Oryctolagus cuniculus: one gene and its partners. The protein of the gene in region 1 interacts with the protein of each later gene in a pairwise test. Links are inferred from orthologs where the notes say so. Each region holds a gene or a part of one and is shown on either strand. Other genes may lie near its edges. The genes, in order: GFER, COPS5 and BNIPL.

Region 1 (4,152 bases):
TGTGCCAGGTGCTTGTTCCTGGTGCCGTGTCAAGGTTGCCCCCCACCCCCCCAGGCCTCCAGGAAGCTGCCCTGCCTCAACAAAGATCCTTTGTGTGTCTGTCCCACCGGTTGCTCTCTAAAGCTGTCTGACCTTGCCGGTGCCAGCCCAGGCAGCCGAGGGGGCCCCAGGAGAGAAGCTGGAGGGAGGCCAGGTTTAATCAGATGGGGCTGGGAAGGATCCGGAGGCCCCCTGCGCCCACGCTGGCTCCACCCAGCTTCCGCTCTCTGGACCCCTACTCTGTTCCCTCACAGTTCAACTCCAGCCGTCACCCACCCCCATCCCTGGGGGGTTTGCTGGCCCCTGTGAAAGCCACTCTCCACGTCACCGCCAGGGGTAGCTTCACAAAACAGACATGGGATCAGGTCAGGGAGGCTGTGCCGGCCCCTGAAGGGCACCCCTAGTCCCCACCCCGCCCCCGTTCTGTGCTGTCCATGTCCCCCGGCCCTGGGCTCCCAGACCCTCCCTCTCTGCCTGCGGTCACCCGGCCCTGCGTGGGCCCTACCACTGCTTGTAGGAACACTGACAGGTGTGGCTTTGGTTTGTCACTGTGCTGAACACCGCACGGAGTGACGGTCAGGGGCACTTTTGCTTCTTGTCCGGCCCGGTGCCGGGAACAGAGCGCGGCCCGGACATCCACGGAAGGACCGCGGGGAGGCGGGCGCCCCGTTGCCAGGGCGCCGGTCGCCGGGGAGGGACCGCGGCCCCGGGGTCCCAGGGAACGCTCTGTGCGGTCACGCCGGCCCCGCGCCGCACGCGCCGTTGCCAAGGCCCCGGGGGGCCAGCCTCGGGCGCGCCCCCCGCTGCGGGCACAGAGCCCGGCCGCGGGCACGCAGGAAGGTGCCAGCGGAGCGATGGGGGCGTCGCGGGCCGCCACCCGCACTGCGACCCAGCCTCAGCCCGAGTCCGCCGCGCGGCCGCGGCGCACCTTCCACAACACGCTGCTCTTCTACTGGAGGAAGCGCGAGCGCCGCCACGGACGGCGCCCGGCGAGCGCGGCGGGCCGGGGGGCGAGGCCCAGGGGCACCCGCAGCGCCCGGGCCTCCGGCGCCGCCCCCGCGCCGGCCCGGGCCCCCGGCCCGGCCCCCGCCGAGGCCCGGCCCTCCAGCCCCGCCGCGGCCAGCGCCCCGGCCTCCGGCCCCGCCCCGCCCCGGGCCCGGACCCCGGCCGCCGGCCCCGCCTCCGCGCCGGGCCCCGCCCCGGACCCCGGCCCGGCCCCGCCCCCCGCGCCCGCGGCGCGCGCCCCCGGCTCCTGCGGCCGCGCGCTGGCGGCGGCGCGCGCGCTGGCCTGGAGGCCGACCTGGAGGCCCCTCTGGCGGCCGAGCTGGCCCGGCAGGCGCTGCGCGGGCAAGATGGCGGCGCCCGGGGAGCCGGGGCGCTCGTACCGCGGGAGCCTCTTCTCCTTCCTGCCGGGCGGCGCGCGCCCCGAGGTGATGGACGACCTGGCGACGGACGCGCGGGGCCGGGGCGCGGGGCGGAGGGACGCCGCGGGCACTGCCGCCGCAGGCCAGCCGCCGGCCCCGGCCCCGCAGCGCGCCGAGGACGCCGCGCAGAGGCGGCCCTGCCGGGCCTGCGTGGACTTCAAGGCGTGGATGCGAACGCAGCAGAAGGTGCCGGCGCCCGCCCGACCTCCCCGCCCTTGGCTTCCGCGCGCCTCGGCCGCCCCGCTCAGCCGCGCGCGGGCCGGAAGCGCCGCAGGACCTGTGTGCAGAGCTGGGGCGGAGGAAGGGGGTGGCCGGTGGGCCTCCGTGTCGGGGAGCGCTAACTGACCCTTAGTCGGCCTACTTCTGCAGCGGGACACGAAGCTTAGAGAGGATTGTCCACAGGACCGCGAGGAGCTGGGCCGCCACAGCTGGGCGCTGCTGCACACCCTGGCCGCCTACTACCCGGACCTGCCCACCCCGGAGCAGCAGCAGGACATGGCCCAGTTCATCCATTTGTTCTCCAAGTTTTATCCGTGTGAGGAGTGTGCGGAAGACATCAGAAAGAGGTGAGCCGCGCTCGCCCGTGGAGCCGGGGCCCGCACTGCCTGCTGATGTCACAGAGCGGGGCAGAGACCATGGCCGCCCGGGCTCTGCGGCTCGCCCCGGAGGGCCGGCTGCCCTTTGCCCTAGGACTGGGGGCAGGCTAGGGAGAGCTGCACTTTGCCCGACTGTCGATGCTGATTGCTCTTTTTATTATTTGAAACAAACAAACAGAGAGAGACAGGTCTTCCATTTGCTGGTTCACTCTTCATGGCTTCAGCTGCCCGCGCTGGGCCAAGCTGGAGCCAGGAACTTCATCCCAGCCTCCCATGGGGGTGCAGGGGCCCGGGCACTTGGGTCGTTCTCCGCTGCTGTTCCCAGGGAGCTGGAGCAGAAGTGGAGCGCCCAGGACTGGGCCAGCGCCCACGTGGGATGCTGGCGTTGCAGGCCGTGGCTTAGGCCTTGCGCCCTGCCGGCCCCCGATTGCTGGTTTGAAAGCCTGGGAACCCACTGCTTTTCCTCACTGAGATGCCCGGGAGCTGTGTTAGGCATCTCCGGGCCGGACGTGTGGGGGCAGCCACGACAGTTAGAACCAGGCAGCCCTGGCTTGACTGGTTCACCAAGGCCTCCCTGGGGTGCTAAGGAGCGGTCCGCTCTGTGCCGGCTCCGCCCCGGCTGCACCTGCCTGGGGCCAGGGGCACAGGTGAGTGTTCCTGATTTCACGAGACTGTAAAGTGGCTGCCTCGTGCCCCGGTGCCTTGCCCTGGGCTCTGCAGGGTCCACCCTGGGGAACGCCCATCTCCGGACGCAGGAGGACGCCCCCCGGTGCCGCTGGCTGCAGTGCCTCTCTCTCCTCCCGCGGCGAGGCGCCGGCAGGGCCGGGGCCACCTCCCCCTTTTGTGTCGCCCCTACTCAGGATCCACAGGAACCAGCCGGACACCCGCACCCGCGCGTGCCTCAGCCAGTGGCTGTGCCGCCTGCACAACGAGGTGAACCGCAAGCTGGGCAAGCCCGAGTTTGACTGCTCACAAGTGGACGAGCGCTGGCGCGACGGCTGGAGGGACGGCTCCTGCGACTAGAGGGGCGGCCGCGGCAGAGGGGCGGGCCGCTCATTAAAGTGCGTCAGAGCCACAGCTGTCGCGTCTTCGTTGGGTGGTCCCAGGACACTGCCCTTCCGAAAGGAAGCTGCCCCCTGCGGGCACTCCAGCAGCCGGCCTCCTCTTCAGCGGGGGGCCTGGGCAGGGGTGTGCAGGGGAGGGAGGCAGGAAGGAGCGTCTCGTCGTCCAGGATGGCAGCCCGCGAGAGGCCGGGGCTCCCTCTTCCTGCCCCGTGAGGCCCGGCTGTGCCTCTCCCTGAGCAGTGCCGTGGCCCCAGTGGCTCTGTGCCGTTGCCACTTGGGGAGTGAGGCCTGGGCCTGAGTACTCCGTTGGGCCCAGCCCCATGGGGAAGTCTGGGGCGGAGTTTTTCCTGAGGTCGCCCAGCGTGCTGCCACGCCCCGCCTGGCACGGGCCCTCTGAAGGTGTGCCAGGACGGTGCCGGGCTCAGAGACCAGAATAAAGTGCTGGACAAGAGACTTGGACCTGGTTCTGGTGTGCTTTGTGCTCAGCTCTGCCCTCCTGTCTGGGGTCTGACCCCGCAGGGGCATGGAGAGGATGCCCGTGCAGGCGGCCACCGTGTTGCCGTGGCCTGGGTGTTCCAGTAGACAGGGAGGCCGATGGCTGCAGCGGAAGGGTCCGCTCTAACGGGGAGGGAGCGGGGCGTGCAGGGTTCAAGACCCCAGCAGATGTGGCTTTCACTCCCGGCTTCGGCAACAGGCAGCCAAGGTCTGGAGCCAAGGAGTGGCGTGGAGCGATGTGACCCAGGTGGCTGAGGTGGCCCCCAGCAGCACGCAAGGAACATAGACATGCTTATTTATTTAGCGTTTAATGATTTGTTTATTTGAAATGCAGAGTTACAGAGGAAGAGACAGAAATCTTCCATCCACTGGTTCACTTTCCAGGTGGCTGTAACAGCTGGGGGCTAGACCAGGCTGAAGCCAGGAACCTGGAGCTCCATCCGGGTCTCCCACACGGATGCAGGGCCCAAGCACTTGGGCCATCGTCTGCTGCTTTCCCAGGCCATTAGCAGGGAGTTAGACGCAGAGCAGCCA
Region 2 (2,356 bases), on another chromosome or scaffold:
TGTTTCCGTAGAGGCAAGTATACTAATAGCAACCAGAAGTGAGAGCTGATGCAAGGGGAGAAAACACTGTGTAAGACCAGAGCAGTCTGAACCTTTGTATAAAGGCAAGCAGATCTACCTACTCAGCCACACGGCTGTCCCTGTATTCCAGCACTGCATATATGAGGACATTAATAATCAAGAAAAGGTTAAATTACATTTTCTCCCTTTCTGTGATTTTATATACTCATATAGGACACTGCTGCATTTTAAGAAAACATGTAAATTATGTTCACTTTCTCTTTCTCCAACTAAAGCAGTTAATTATAGCATAAAACCTAAAAGCTACCAGAGAAAAATTTTTTTAAGAAATTAGTTTCCTGTATTAATTTTCTGGGCATTTGAAATGTGATTGGGTATATTTTACTGTCAGTTTACTAGTATAACCATTTCTGCTAGCTTACATTTTTATGGGCTCTGTAGCTAATCTTCTGAATGTGGAAAAGTCTGTAAACCTTAGGCTTTTCTCCAAGTCTGTGGGATAAATGTTGATTTCCTAAACCATTTAGATTCATTTAGGCAAAGTAAATATAATTGCATCATTTTAAAATCACCCTAACTTTGAACAATCATTAGGAGATCTGGTAGCATTTTAAAGGGCCTTCTGTGGTAACTTTGATGATAGCTATAACATTTTGTGTTTGATAGTTAAACTGTATTTCTTGTAAGCTGTCTTTCAAACTGAGCAACTAAAATAGCATGCTGATTTTCGCCAAATGGCTTATTTATCCTCATTCTCTTCTACAAAAGATTAAGAAAAGAAATGTAATATATGCTTTACAACTTTGTAGGTTTTCTTTATATTTTAGACTAAAACTAAAAATGGATATCTTATAACAATCTCTTTAAAGATATTACAGTAATGTAGACATATAACTTTTTTCTTTTTAAAAAGTATGTCATATTATAAAAATACAATATATAATATTCTAGTTTCCCAGATATAGAATGCATATGAGTGAGGTGAAGGGCTTATAGCTATGTCTATTTTCTTTATATTGTTCTACATTTTCCAAATTTTCTGTAATTTATTAAATTATTTTCTGTAATAATTTATTAAGCAAAACCAAAGGTTATTTTTAAAAATATTATCCTAAGTACAAATTATAAAAGAATAGTAACAAAACTAGCTAACAATTATTAAGCATTTAGTGGGTGCCATGGACCAGCCTAAGAGCTTTCACACATTATTTCATTAATTTTTCACAATAGCCTTAACATAGAAATTGCTCCCTTTTCCCATTTTCTGAAGAGGACCTGCAGGCATGTCCCAAGCCTCCCAACTAATCTGCAGCAGGTTAGGAGCTGGACTTGATATGTGTAGGCCAAGGCCTCTTGTAATAATAATCACCATTAGACCTAGAGTCGAAGAGAAAAATTCCAAATTTAATCTTGAAATTAAAAAGAGAACACATCTACATTGAACCACTTGACAAGTTGAAAAAGTTGCAAGATTTTGCACGTGTAATTTGACTTCTTACTTCAATAATCATCCACTCAGATCTTATAGGAGGATTCTTTGTAAATGAAATGTTCTTTATAGAAGAAAATTAATTTACATTAAAATATATATGTGTGTATGTATATTTTTTTTATGTTTTTAATGGTAGACTTGTGTACTAATACAATATCATCTTCTCCACAGAATGCAGACTATACCACTGGTCAGGTCTTTGATTTGTCTGAAAAGTTAGAGCAGTCAGAAGCCCAGCTGGGACGAGGAAGTTTCATGTTGGGTTTAGAAACACATGACCGAAAATCAGAGGACAAACTTGCCAAAGCCACAAGAGACAGGTAAGAATAAGAATAAGAATAAGAAAAAGATTCTTTTTACTTTCAATTCTCAAATAATAGTAGGAACCAAATTCCTTACAGTTCAAATTAGTCAGAATAATATCTGAACATTAAACTTCTTGGGACCTTTAAAAGTTGTCAAATGCAGATTTTAACTCTGAAAATTTAGGAGTCATTAGGTCAGAACATTAAAGGCTTAAATCAAAGATGTAGGCAGTGACATGGAATACTCCCAGTCATCTCTTCTAGTTCAGCTACAAAGTCAAAGAAAGAAACTAATCTTCCTTTAGGTCTTCAAATTAAAAAAAAATAAATAAAAGCAAGCCTTTGCCAAAAGAATCTCTTGGTTTATTGTCATATAAGCATCTGTAGAATTAAATTAAGAGATGTTGAAACTTAACAAATTTCAGGGTTTTTTTCATAAAGTCTTAAATCCCAAGATATCATAGGAGTGAATGTATCTCTCTTAAATTATGCTTCTGAAATTGTCCTTTATACTGTAATTTGGTACTCTAGATTTTAG
Region 3 (3,650 bases), on another chromosome or scaffold:
ACCTTTTTTTCCTTAAAGAAGGGCAGCAGGTGAGGAGGAAATATGAAAAGATAGTGCAGTGGTCTAGTCACGGAGGCCCTTGCTGCTACACTAAGGAATTTAGATTTTATCTTGTAAGCAATGAGGAGTCTCAGAAAGATTTTAATCATGGAATTAACATGATCAAGTTTAATGACTGAAAAGACTAGAAATGGCCAAAATATCCGTGAGTAAAATAATGTTTACTACAGGGCATTAACACTATGGAATTATTTTTAAAGATTTATTTATTTACTTGAGAGGCAGAGTCAGAGAGAGAGAAGAGAGAGAGATGTGTCTTCCATCCACTGGGTCACTCCCCAAATGGCTGCAATGGCTGGAGAGCTGGGCCAATCCAAAGCCAGGAGCCAGGATCTTCTTCTGGCACAGCTGCCAGTATTTCTATATACTCAAATTTCTGAAAATGTCTCACTGGATCTAAGGAGTAGACATATTCAAAACTTTGCCCATAAGCCTCTAAGGAGGATACACCAATTAAGAACCCCACACAGGCCGGCGCCGCGGCTCACTAGGCTAATCCTCCACCTAGCGGCGCCGGCACACCGGGTTCTAGTCCCGGTCGGGGCGCCGGATTCTGTCCCGGTTGCCCCTCTTCCAGGCCAGCTCTCTGCTGTGGCCAGGGAGTGCAGTGGAGGATGGCCCAGGTGCTTGGGCCCTGCACCCCATGGGAGACCAGGAAAAGCACCTGGCTCCTGGCTCCTGCCATCGGATCAGCGCAGCGCACCGGCCGCGGCGGCCATTGGAGGGTGAACCAACGGCAAAGGAAGACCTTTCTCTCTGTCTCTCTCTCTCACTGTCCACTCTGCCTGTCAAAAAAAAAAGAAGTAGAAAAAAGAGAACTTGCTCTGTGGTCTTTAGAGTAGATTGAAGGAAAAGAGACCAGAGGCAGGGAGAGCAGGTAGGAGGCTAGTACCAAGCACAAGTGAGCCAGAACAGTGATAGTGGCAAAGCTAATAAAGGGGCGTAATGAAGGTGGATGGAAGAGGATGTGGGGTCCAGCTGGTTTGAGGGCAGACAGAGAAGAAGGAATGTCAGAACAGTGTTCTCTCACACCCGGCTAGATGGATGGGATTGTTCGTCAAGAAAGGAAACAAGGGAGGGGCTGGCATTGGGGCGCAGTGGGTTAAGCTGCTGGCCACCCATACGGGCAACCTGTTTGAATCCTGACTGCTCCACTGCTTATCCAGCTCCTGCTAATGCACCTGGAAAAGCAGCAGAAGTGCTTAGGCCCTTGCAGCCATGTGGGAGACCTGGATGGAGCTCCTGGCTCCTGGCTTTGGTTTGGCACAGCCCTGGCCGTCATGGCCATTTGGGGAGTGAACCATCAGATGGAAGATCTATCTCTCGGTCTCTCCTTCTCTCTCCCTGTAACTCTGCCTTTCAAATAAATAAATAAATCTTAAAGCAAAAGAGAGAGAGAGAGAAAGGAAACGAGGGAGAGGAAGAAGAGGATGATTTTGGATCTGGGACCTGACAGGGACACATAAAGGAGGGAAGTGCACTCCAGGCAGTCAGAGATATGAATCTGGAGTTAGGAGAGAAGTTTGGGTTAGAGAGGCAGATCCGGGAGTCCTCAGCTTTCTGACAGTAACTGAACCCGGGGACTAGATATGCTCGCCCAGGGGAAAGCGTGTACAGAAACTGAATCCAGAAAAAGAAAAAGCCAGGTGCTGGTGAGAGCCACGGACCTGCCGTGGTGCAGGGACCCTGAGGCCATTGTCTAGTGAAAAGGAGAGGATCAGGAGGCGCAGGAGAGAACCTAGGAGGATGGTGGTAGTGGGGTGAGTGGACAAACTGAGGTTAAAGGGACGGAAACAACTGAGGGCCAGGCGATTCAGTAACAGACTCCAGGCATCTGGGAACTTGACAAGATACTGAAGGTGAGAATCATCCTGCTGATCCCTCTACATCGCTCTTTCAGATGAGCTGCCCCGGGCAGAGGGTCTGGCGGCCAGTGAGGCTGCGGAAAGGCTGGGCCGGGGTTGCGTGTGGGACGTGGCTGGAGAAGACGGGCATCGCTGGAGGGTGTTCCGAACAGGACAGCGGGAGCAGCGAGTGGACATGACTGCCATTGAGCCCTACAAGAAAGTCCTGTCTCATGGAGGTAATGGCTAGTGTAGACGGAGGGGTAAAAACAGTGACTTCTGGAATAAACAGACCAAGCTGGAGACTCGGTCATTGGGTTCAAAACTCCTTCCTGTAACCTGTACAGCCCCTCAGAGGTACTGTCTTGCCAACACATACTTCTCTTCACCAGGTTACCATGGTGATGGACTCAATGCTGTCATACTCTTTGCTTCCTGTTATCTACCCAGAGGCAGCATTCCCAACTATGCCTATGTCATGGAACACTTGTTTAGGTGAGGTGGAAGGCCTGAGGGGCTACAGAGGGTATTATGGGAGGAAAAGAAAAAAAAGTCCCCTTCCAACATCTGTACTGATTTCGGAGTCTGCAGTAATAGTCCTCGTGCTCCCTGTGACCCACAACACAGGGCTCCCCTGTAATTCTGTCCCCCAGGTATATGGTGGGGACCCTGGAGCTGCTGGTGGCTGAAAACTACCTGCTGGTTCACTTGAGCGGCGGCACAAGCAGGGCCCAGGTTCCACCTCTGGGCTGGATACGCCAGTGTTACCGCACTCTGGATCGGCGGTGAGACCCCAGGATGAGGGCGCCGCAGTTCTCTGTCTTTCTTCTTCTCCATCTTCTCATTCTTTCTTCTTTTTAGCTGCTTCCTCATTCCTTTGTCCCTCTCCACCCCTTTCCAAGCCCCGCCTGTCCTCACGTGGAGTTAAGGAGATCAGGTTTCAAATCTCACCTTTACCATTTACCAGCTGCATGATGGGTGCAAGCCACTTTACTTTTTGGGCCTCAGTTTCCTTATCTGCAAATAGCAACAGTCGTCTCTTTGCCGTTGGGCACTTGTGAAAGTGGAGTTAACGCGGAGGCACATTCTGGCATGTGGAAGGCAGTCTGCCTCCTCTCCCATCTTGCCCTGTATTTCATTTCCACAGCTGCACTGTCTTCTTCGCCTTCCTCTTTTTAAATAATGCTACTTAATTTAAGGACAACACTTGACTTAATAAGGACCTTCTTTAGCTTTTCTTTCTTTCTTTCCTTTTTTTTTTTTTTTTTGTTGTTGTTGTTGTTGACAGGCAGAGTTAGACAGTGAGAGAGAGACAGAGAGAAAGGTCTTCCTTTTTCCGTTGGTTCACCCTCCAATGGCCGCTGCAGCCGGCGGACCGCGCTGATCCGAAGCCAGGAGCCAGGTGCTTCTCCTGGTCTCCCATGGGGTGCAGGGCCCAAGCACTTGGGCCATCCTCCACTGCCTTCCCGGGCCACAGCAGAGAGCTGGCCTGGAAGAGGGGCAACCGGGACAGAATCTGGCGCCCCAACCGGGATTAGAACCCAGGGTGCCAGTGCCACAGGTGGAGGATTAGCCTAGTGAGCTGTGGGGCCGGCCAAGTTTTCATTTTTTTTTAAGATTTATTTATTCAGCACTATATTTAAACCTACCGATGAGAATTTTCCTTATTCTTGGTTACGCTGTAGTGCAAAAGAATTCCTGGCTCTGTCAGTTGCATAGCTGACTTGTGCCATTCTGCTGTTGCTT

Evidence for each region.
Region 2: the proteins of GFER (region 1) and COPS5 interact in a two-hybrid assay, tested with the Homo sapiens proteins (2 studies listed by BioGRID). The link is inferred for Oryctolagus cuniculus from reciprocal best matches to the Homo sapiens genes GFER and COPS5.
Region 3: the proteins of GFER (region 1) and BNIPL interact in a two-hybrid assay, tested with the Homo sapiens proteins (2 studies listed by BioGRID and IntAct). The link is inferred for Oryctolagus cuniculus from reciprocal best matches to the Homo sapiens genes GFER and BNIPL.

The regions. Positions count from the first base shown.
Region 1 is NC_091450.1:33,243,300-33,247,451, reverse strand, and holds GFER (FAD-linked sulfhydryl oxidase ALR), read left to right. Parts: upstream 1-1,391; coding exon 1,392-1,649; intron 1,650-1,809; exon of another isoform or gene 1,810-1,832; coding exon 1,833-2,029; intron 2,030-2,919; coding exon 2,920-3,082; 3' UTR 3,083-3,576; downstream 3,577-4,152.
Region 2 is NC_091437.1:92,671,999-92,674,354, reverse strand, and holds part of COPS5 (COP9 signalosome complex subunit 5), read left to right. Parts: intron 1-1,684; coding exon 1,685-1,833; intron 1,834-2,356. UniProt on the Homo sapiens protein: Probable protease subunit of the COP9 signalosome complex (CSN), a complex involved in various cellular and developmental processes.
Region 3 is NC_091438.1:47,051,800-47,055,449, reverse strand, and holds part of BNIPL (bcl-2/adenovirus E1B 19 kDa-interacting protein 2-like protein), read left to right. Parts: intron 1-1,960; coding exon 1,961-2,143; intron 2,144-2,296; coding exon 2,297-2,399; intron 2,400-2,557; coding exon 2,558-2,689; intron 2,690-3,533; exon of another isoform or gene 3,534-3,650. UniProt on the Homo sapiens protein: May be a bridge molecule between BCL2 and ARHGAP1/CDC42 in promoting cell death.